Linked DNA regions of Oryctolagus cuniculus. The protein of the gene in region 1 interacts with the protein of each later gene in a pairwise test. Links are inferred from orthologs where the notes say so. Each region holds a gene or a part of one and is shown on either strand. Other genes may lie near its edges.

Region 1 (4,411 bases):
TGCTTCGTAATAAGTCTTAGTGTCAGTCTTCTGACTTTGTTCTTCAGGATCATGTTGGCTATCGGGGATGTTTTGACTCTCCATGTAAAATCTAGAAATCGGTTTGTTGACATCCACAAAATAGTTTACTGTGATTTTCATTCACCATATTGAGGAAGCAGTGACTGAATTTTTTCCTTTTTTAAAGTTTTATTAATTTATTTAAGAGGCAGAGTTACAGAGAGAGGGAGAGACAGAGAGAGGTCTTTAATCTCCTGGTTCACTCCCCAGATGGCCGCAACGGCCGGAGCTTGGCTCATCCTAAGGTAGGAGCCAGGAGCTTCCTCTGGGTTTCCCACATGGATGCAGGGGCCCAAGGACTTGGGCCATCTTCTGCTGCCTTCCCAGGCCATTGGCAGGGAGCTGAATTGGAAGTGGAGCAGCCAGGACTGGCGCTCATTTGGGATGCCGGTGCCACAAGCAGAGGCTTAACCCACTATGCTACAGCGCTGGCTGCAGTGACTGACTTTCATATATTAACCTTGTATCCTGCAACCTTGCTATCATGGCTTATTCGTTCCAGGAGTGTTTTTGTTTTGTCTCTGTTTTTGATTTTTGTAAGCAATCATATCTGCAACAACAGTTTTATTGCCTCCTATCCAAGATGCATATAAGTTTGACATTGAGTATTGGAGTTTTTTAATGAAATCTATAAAAGTCAAGGAATGTGCAATGGCCACAGCTCTTCCTTGTTATACTCAAAAGTCATCATTTCCCTACCACCCCAAACATCCTCTTGTTAAATTTTAAACTGAGGGGCTGGCGCTGTGGTGTAGCAGGTAAAGCCACCGCCTGCAATGCCAGCATCCCATACGGGCACTGGTTCGAGACCCACCACTGGCCGTAGTGGCCATTTTGGGAGTGAACCGTGGATGGAAGGTCTCTGTCCCTGCCTCTGCCCCTCTCTAACTCTGCCTTCCAAATAAATAAATGAATCTTGAAAAATAATTTTAGACTGAACTTGCACATTGTTGACAATGAATTTATGAAGATGTCTTGTGAAAAGGAAATGTAAAACTTGACAGAGGCAGAAGTCAGTCACTTTTTTTTTATTAGGTTTCCATTTATTTTATTTCCTCATAAGCCATGTATTAACATACCAAGTTTGAAAAAGTAGAAAGGCAAAAATTAAGCTCTGCTTCTATATCCTTTATTAAAAACGATAAAAAAAAAAAAACTAGCTCCAGCCTTTTTGTGAATGTTGAATAACTGAAGGTTCTGTAATGGTTTGAGAACTAGAGTCTAACTGGGAAGACGCACTGAACTTTCTGGCTTTACTTTTTATTTTACTTTCTCTCCCAGCAGCCTGAGGGAACTGGCATGATAGACGAAGAGTTCACTGTCGCCAGGCTCTACATCAGCAAGATGAAGTCAGAAGTCAAGACGATGGTGAAACGCTGCAAACAGCTAGAAGGCACACAGACCGAGAGCAACAAAAAAATGGAAGAAAATGAAAAGGAGCTAGCAGCATGCCAGCTTCGCATCTCCCAAGTATGTGTTACAGAACAAAGTATCCTCATTTTTTTTTAACAGCCACGTGGAAGTAAATCAGTATATTTTATTTATTATAAAAGCTTTCAGAAAAATGAGTCTCTAGAGTAACAATAAAATGTTAGTTTTCCCTGTACTACTACAGTGTGATAGTGCAAATGATTTAGTCGGGTTATAGCTGTCAGTGTGTGTGTACTAAGTATGGAAATGTACTAGAAAGATGCGAATGGTATGATTTTGGAGGACTCTAGAATAATTCCAAAGTGGAGAGTACTACCAAGGAACGGTTTCTGGCATTTTTGGCCACTCAGTGAGTGGGATCATTCCCCAGATAGAATCTGTGCAAGGAGGAGGAAGACTGTGATATTAGATGGAGAAAATTCTAAAAATACTGTCTCATATTTCAGCCTTTAGTCCCTTAGTTTGCACGTGGTAGAAGCTCTACGCATGAATAGTGTATTGATAAACTCTATCATTTTAAAATTTGACCCCCTCAACATGATACCTCTGCATATGTAATATACTTAGATATTACTGTACCTCCAGATATTCTTAACAACAAAATGTGTGTGTGAGGTTTTTCTCCTGTTCATATCAGTGTATTTCTTCCAAAAGCATGAAGCCAAAATCAAGTCATTGACTGAATACCTGCAAAATGTGGAGCAGAAGAAAAGGCAGCTCGAAGAATCTGTCGACTCCCTCAGTGAAGAACTAGTTCAGCTTCGAGCACAAGGTATTAGCTCCCAGTTTATGTTCTGTGTTAATCCTTCTTGCCTTTAGGTGATTGTAGTAAACTTGTATTCACACTGATAAAGAACAGTAGGAATATGGGTAACTTGGAATAGTAAACATCATATATTTTAAGTTGCCTTTGAAACATTTTAAAAAAATTGTGTTTGAATATATAAATGGCCAGTCTAGGAGTTTCCTGTAAGATTATGAAGTTGTTATGTGTGTGTGTGTGTGTGTGTATGAGGAGACTTAAAGATCTCTTGTATATAAACCTTAAAGTAGATTTAGAAACTAACTTCTTTGCCTACCATCCCTTTAACCCTCTGTTCTGGGGTTAGGCAAAGAAAAAACAATGCTTAATATCAGCACAAATATAGTAGTCAACGCGTTATTGAGCCTGGAGTGCAAGATTTACTTTGTGATATTTGGATAACTTAATTTTGAGTGTTTCTTGAAAAACCTATTTCTCATAAGACCCATTTGTCCCTTTGGCTTACATGATTGGTTTATATGAGGACTCTTTTAAGACTTTGTTCTTCTGCTTTCTTTCCCTAACTAAACAGAGAAAGTCCATGAAATGGAAAAGGAGCACTTAAATAAGGTTCAGACTGCAAATGAAGTGAAGGCAAGTTTGTTCTTAGATTGGATTCTGATGGCTTTAATACATTGTTACTGATTTTGATTAGTCTGACTCTAACATTCTTTCCCCTCAAACACTTTAGCAAGCCGTTGAACAACAGATCCAAAGCCACAGAGAAACCCATCAAAAACAAATCAGTAGTTTGAGAGATGAAGTTGAGGCAAAAGAAAAACTTATCACTGACCTTCAAGAGTAAGTATACTTTTCTTTTCTCTCACATATTTGAAACTAACTGCAAAAAATTCAGAGGAAATAATGTTACTAGTGGTCAGTATGTCCTTACTTGAAACCTGTTTTCAAGGAAATTCTATTTTTTGACTTGGAAAATAAAGAATTTTCACACTGTAGAGTAAAATTTTTAAAAAGTTCTGAAAGATTTTCTTAGGTTGTTTGCTCTAAATGCTAAGTTAAAAAAAAAAAAAGAGAGAGAGAGAGCCTCAGCTTAAACTCATTATTGCATTCTCCCTCAAATCATTTAACTTTTTTTTTTTAGATTGATTTATTTACTTGTTTATTTGCAAGGCGGAGTTACAGAGGCAGAGAGCGAGAGAGAAAGAGGTCTTCCATCCACTGGTTCACTCCCCCAAACTGGCCACAACAACTGGAGCTAGGCCGATTGGAATCCAGGAGGCAGGAGTCTCCTCTGGTTCTCCCACATGAGTGCAAGGGCCCAAGGACCTGAGAGTTGGATAAGAAGAGGAGCATCCAGGACTCGAACTGGTGCTCATATGGGATGCCAGCATTGCAGGCGGCAATCTTACCTGCTACACCACTGGGCTGGCCCGCTTAACTTCTATTTCTTTGTTTTTTTGATTCTTAACTGATAAAATTTTTATTAGAAATTAAGGGTTTAGAGGTTGGTTTTTGTTTTTTAATAGAAGTCGTCCTCTTAGTTTACCTAGAAGACATTTCTCTACTTCGGTAATCATGTTCACCTACATGGGATGGGTGTAATGATTTGAATAGAAACCAGAAGATGGCAACAACAAAACAGAAGTTTGGGGCATAGATCTAACTAGTACTTAACGAAAGCAGTAATAAGGATTCAAGGAAATGAAAGACATGGAAAAATGAAATCATAATTTTTATTTAAAACATGAAAAATATTGGATGACCAAAAGGTCCTATCTCTTTCTGCACCTATGGAGGACAGGATAACAGAAGATATTTTGAGTGTCTGAAAAATGAGATGATAGAGTTCAAAAAATTGGGACAACGTTTAGCCTTAGCAGTTAAACACCTGCGAGTCCCATATCCGAGAACCTGGCTTCAGTGCCCACCTCTTCCTGGCTCTAGTGTCTTACTTGTGTAGACCCAGTGTGACAGAGGTGAGAGCTCAGGTGGTTGGGATGCTGCACCCGCACTGGAGACCTGAACTGAGTTCCTAGCCCCAGCCATGGTGAACATCTAGGGAGTCAACTAGCAGGTGGGAGCTCTGTCTTTCTCTGTCTCTCAAATAAATACATTTAAAAATTAAAAGTGATAGGGAGCAGCATCGTGGCAGTAGTG
Region 2 (4,411 bases), on another chromosome or scaffold:
CTGTAACTGATAAAGGAACACTAGGGGCTCTAGAAACACATAGGAGAAAAGCAGGTTCATGAGTAAAAGAAAAGAACCAACTGGTTTTTAATGTAATTCATGGGTTGGTGCCGCGGCTCACTTGGCTAATCCTCCGCCTTGCGGCGCTGGCACCCCGGGTTCTAGTCCCGGTCGGGGCGCCAGATTCTGTCCCGATTGCCCCTCTTCCAGGCCAGCTCTCTGCTGTGGCCTGGGAGTGCAGTGGAGGATGGCCCAAGTGCTTGGGCCCTGCACCCGCATGGGACACCAGGAGGAAGCACCTGGCTCCTGGCTTTGGATCGGCTCGGCCCAGCCCAGCCGTAGCGGCCATTTGGGGGGTGAACCAACGGAAGGAAGACCTTTCTCTCTGTTTCTCTCTCTCACTGTCTAACGCTGCCTGTCAAAAATAATAATAATAATTCATGGACAACTGTCTCAAGGATATCGCGTACATGTGTAGCCAGTCCTCCTGCAATCACAGCAGGAGTGAGTCCGCGCGAGTTCTCGTGTGCTGCTGTTCCTACAGGTTTCTTCCCTGAAAATGCACGGCACCAGGCAGTGCAGGCTGGGGAAGGAGCAACAGGGCCGGGAGACCTGGCTGACCTGACCAAGTCTCAGCCCTTGTGTGCATCTGAGTGTTTTACCTTCATCTGAGAAAGGGATCAACAGGATCTAGTGAAAAGGAGAGGTAGCACATACAAATCCAAGGAGGATTTTAGAGTCAAAACTACCCACTTAAAAAAAAAAAAAAGGGAGGCACACTGTGTTGTATGGGGTTCTCGGATTCCCCTGCAGCGAAACACACAGAGCTGGAAGCACCCTGAGGCGGCTCAGGGGATGAAAGCTGTCGGTGACACCGGAGCCATGCCTTGGAGTTACTTGTGGGGTAACTGGCTTTGCTCTGTTCCAAGGTCCAGGCTGGTGCCGGAGCTACAGGTCACCAGGGTCATGAGGCGACCCTGGATTCACAGAGCACACACTCATGCATAAAAGACGCTGCCCCAGGGCTGTCACCGAGGCCTTGGAGCTGAACACACATCTACGCAGAGGACAAACGCAATCCAGCAAACCAGGCCGGAGGCCAGCGGTCCTGCGAACACTCATCACTGTTTCACTAAGATGAGGAAACAGAGGCTTGGGTCTCCCTTGGGACTCCTCTGTTTATCGCACAGGTGCATCGTTCTTAGATGGCTTGAAGCATGACTTCGGGTTTCTGAAGTCAGGTTTCCAATATACATGCATGCCTTCTCATCTAACTATAATAACCCCTCCACAGAGTTTTCAAAGACAGATATAATAATGCACAAGCAATTTCTGGAAGGATACATCCAGATGCACTATGGTGTATGGATGAGGCAGAAGCGTTGAGAAAAATGGCTTAACTCTTCACCTTAAGCCTGCCCTTCCTAAGAACTGTATTGTTTAAAATCATGCTTTATTTTCACAGTTAATAAAAAAAGAAGCTTCTTAAAAACATAACACATACAGAGTTACACTGTGAGTTAACATTCTAGCTGTTGCTGTATTAAGTTTCTGTTCTCTAATTAGTACCTACGACCACGGATGCTAGTACATACCATTCTCTCATAATTTAGCAACAATCAGATGTGCACACTGAGTGACTGAGATTTACAGGTTAAATTAACCAACATCCACCAACTCCTACCCAAACCAGGCCTCCTTCACGCTCTGCTGTGGTTTCACCGCATGCACGCACACAGCTTACAGAGCCTGGAATGCAGCAGAGGGTAAAGAGGGAACAGCGACTGCCACCCACCAACTTGGCAGCTGTCTTGGTAACTGCTCAGATTTTACACAAAAGGTTCCTTGACTGGCAGTCATGAGGCCGGTGGGACTCACCTGTCGATGACGTAAAAGTTGTCCCCATCGTCGCCTTGGTCGATGACATGCTCCCCTTCCTTGACCAGTTTTTCAAACATGGCATCTAACACTTGAGACATCTGCTCCTGTTTTTTAAAAAGATAAGATATAATCTTCAAGTGTATGCAAAGCGCATCTTCGTAAGCAACCGTAATTACTTTTACGTTTCTGTGAACAAGCTCAGAGAAATGAAAACATCACCACTGCCATTAGTGTTGTCAAGAAGATGCACAGGGTGGTCCTCCTTACACATGCAAATGAGATGATGTTCCCACATTCAGTATCTGAATGAAGGTAATTACACTTAGTCTATTTCAGAATACCTGCAACTGTCACCACTTTAAAATTAAAAAATGAACTGCCAAACCATCAGATGCACTGAGAAATAAAATCTTTTTTTCCTAAAGACTTATTTTATTTATTTGAAAGGCAAGAGTTACAGAAAGAGAGAGAGAGATGGAGAGACAGTGAGAGAGATCTTCCACCCACTGGTTCACTCCCCAAATGGCCATGGCAGCCAAGGTTGGGCCAGGCTGAAGTCAGGAGCCAGGAACTCCATCCAGGTCTTCCATATGGATGGCAGAAACCCAAGTATTTGGGCCATAATGCACTGCCTCCCAGGTGCATTAACAGGAAGCTTGTGGGGAGCAATCCGGACTAGACTGAGTTACTGGAATTAAGACTTATTCTATGCATCTGCTCTCCCACAATATGGCGCTGGGAGAGAAGTAAACAGCTTCTGCACAGCTGCCTCCAGTTCAACCAATAAACTGTAGGACTTGCTCCTGATTGGAGAGCAGCGTACTCGGCGTGTGGGCAGCCGAGTTGGGATTGGCAGAGGAGGACTATAAAGGAGGAGAGAGACGGCATGCACCAGGAACATCTAAGGGGAACATCTAAGGGGAACATCTGTGCAGCCCCCGAGAGAACCGGCCGGCAGTGTGCCGCTCCCCTGCGGAAGTGGGGAATGTGGCCATTCCCTCCGTGGAAGGGATAGTAGCCAACCCGGGAAGAACCAGCAGCAAACCCGGGGAGGGCCGAGCAGACGAAAGAACAGCGCAGGGTCCTGTGTCGTTCCTCCACGAAGACGGGGAGCGACAGAAGCTGGATTGGAAGTAGAGCAGGTGAGATTCTAACTGGCACTCCATGTGGGATGCCAATGGCATAGGCAGCAGTTTAACCAGCTGTGCCACAACACTGGCCCTGTGACATATAATCTTAGTAAAAAACTTACTCAAAACTATTACTTTCAGTGATGCCTGTTTGTAAAACTTCCCTATAATAGTTACCATGGGAATGTACCTACATAAACTCAGGAAATTAAGACCCTAACCCCAATCCTTTTCATTGTGGTTTAGCAACAAAACCAAAACTGAACCCAAAGCGAAAGACAACCAAGCTAAAGCCACCGAGATAGGACCGTGGCAAATCCTTGCACCTGCTTTCTGCCCTGCACGTGGCCGCCACCTCGAGAGGGTGGGCAGGTCAGGAACACCAACACTACCACTGGGCCGTTTCCACTGGATGGAACCTTTGCCAGGAGAATACACGCCTGACGAGGCTTCCTGACGAACTCCAGCTTCTGCAAACCAACCAGGAAGGAGAGATCGCTCCCCGCCCGGGGCGGGCGGGTGTCTGGGACAGTGGCTCAGACACAGCTGGGAGTGCCTGCATGTCACGGTACAGAGCCCGGGTTCCAGCTGACCTCCACTTCCCACCCAGCTGCCTGCAAACGTGCACCCTGGAAGGCAGCAGGTGAGAGGGCTCAAGTACACGGGTCCCTGCCACCTACCTGGGAGGGAGACCTGGCTGGGGAGTTTCTGGCTCCTGGCTTTGGCCTGGATCAGCTGAGTACTGAACCAGAGGATGGAAGATCTTTCTCTCGTCTCTCTGCTTTTCAGAAACAGACACATTTTTAAAAAGGAAATCTTCCCTCAGAATGAATGGAGGAACACTCTGAAGAGTACTGAACAGTAGAGGAGTAACAGAAAATCAAAAGGCTCAGAGGGTTCTTTGGTTCTGAGCGCTTGGTCAGGACACTGCCCAGGCCAAAGTCTATTATTTTTATAAACAAACTAAAGAGCTGGAGAAGACAGATGTCCCAGGGAGATGGGACGGAAGAGCAGGCGAGCATAGGCTGAGGTGCTCTGGATGGCAAGGCTGGCAGGTGACCTGTGAGTTCCCTCCCAAGACAACCCGGAAACTGCACACAGACTACCAAGATGGGCCCGTAACAGCACAGAGCTCGGGAAGGGACACCCAGAGCAGCACAGTGGGTCTGATGCGTGGGGGGACCATGGCTCCAGCTGGGCACATCTGGTTCTGTCAGGGCAGGCCTGGGACACAAGGCCTCTCCACCCTGAACATGGTACACAGGGCAGTCGACCCTGGCTACAACTCTTCCCAGTCCACAGATGAGAGGGAACCTGAATGAAGGAGACAGACTTTGTCAGTCGTGGCAAAGGCCGCTGAGCTAGAACAAGGGTCCTCTCCTGCTGTGAACTCAGGGTTC

The links.
Region 2: the proteins of KIF5B (region 1) and PRKAR2B interact in binary tests that used the Homo sapiens proteins (3 or more experiments, as listed by UniProt). The two-hybrid records come from large-scale screens. The link is inferred for Oryctolagus cuniculus from reciprocal best matches to the Homo sapiens genes KIF5B and PRKAR2B.

Annotation. Positions count from the first base shown.
Region 1 is NC_091444.1:102,452,349-102,456,759, reverse strand, and holds part of KIF5B (kinesin-1 heavy chain), read left to right. Parts: intron 1-1,341; coding exon 1,342-1,530; intron 1,531-2,145; coding exon 2,146-2,263; intron 2,264-2,825; coding exon 2,826-2,887; intron 2,888-2,984; coding exon 2,985-3,094; intron 3,095-4,411. UniProt on the Homo sapiens protein: Microtubule-dependent motor required for normal distribution of mitochondria and lysosomes. Can induce formation of neurite-like membrane protrusions in non-neuronal cells in a ZFYVE27-dependent manner.
Region 2 is NC_091434.1:137,089,967-137,094,377, forward strand, and holds part of PRKAR2B (cAMP-dependent protein kinase type II-beta regulatory subunit), read right to left. Parts: intron 1,986-4,411; coding exon 1,879-1,985; intron 1-1,878. UniProt on the Homo sapiens protein: Regulatory subunit of the cAMP-dependent protein kinases involved in cAMP signaling in cells. Type II regulatory chains mediate membrane association by binding to anchoring proteins, including the MAP2 kinase.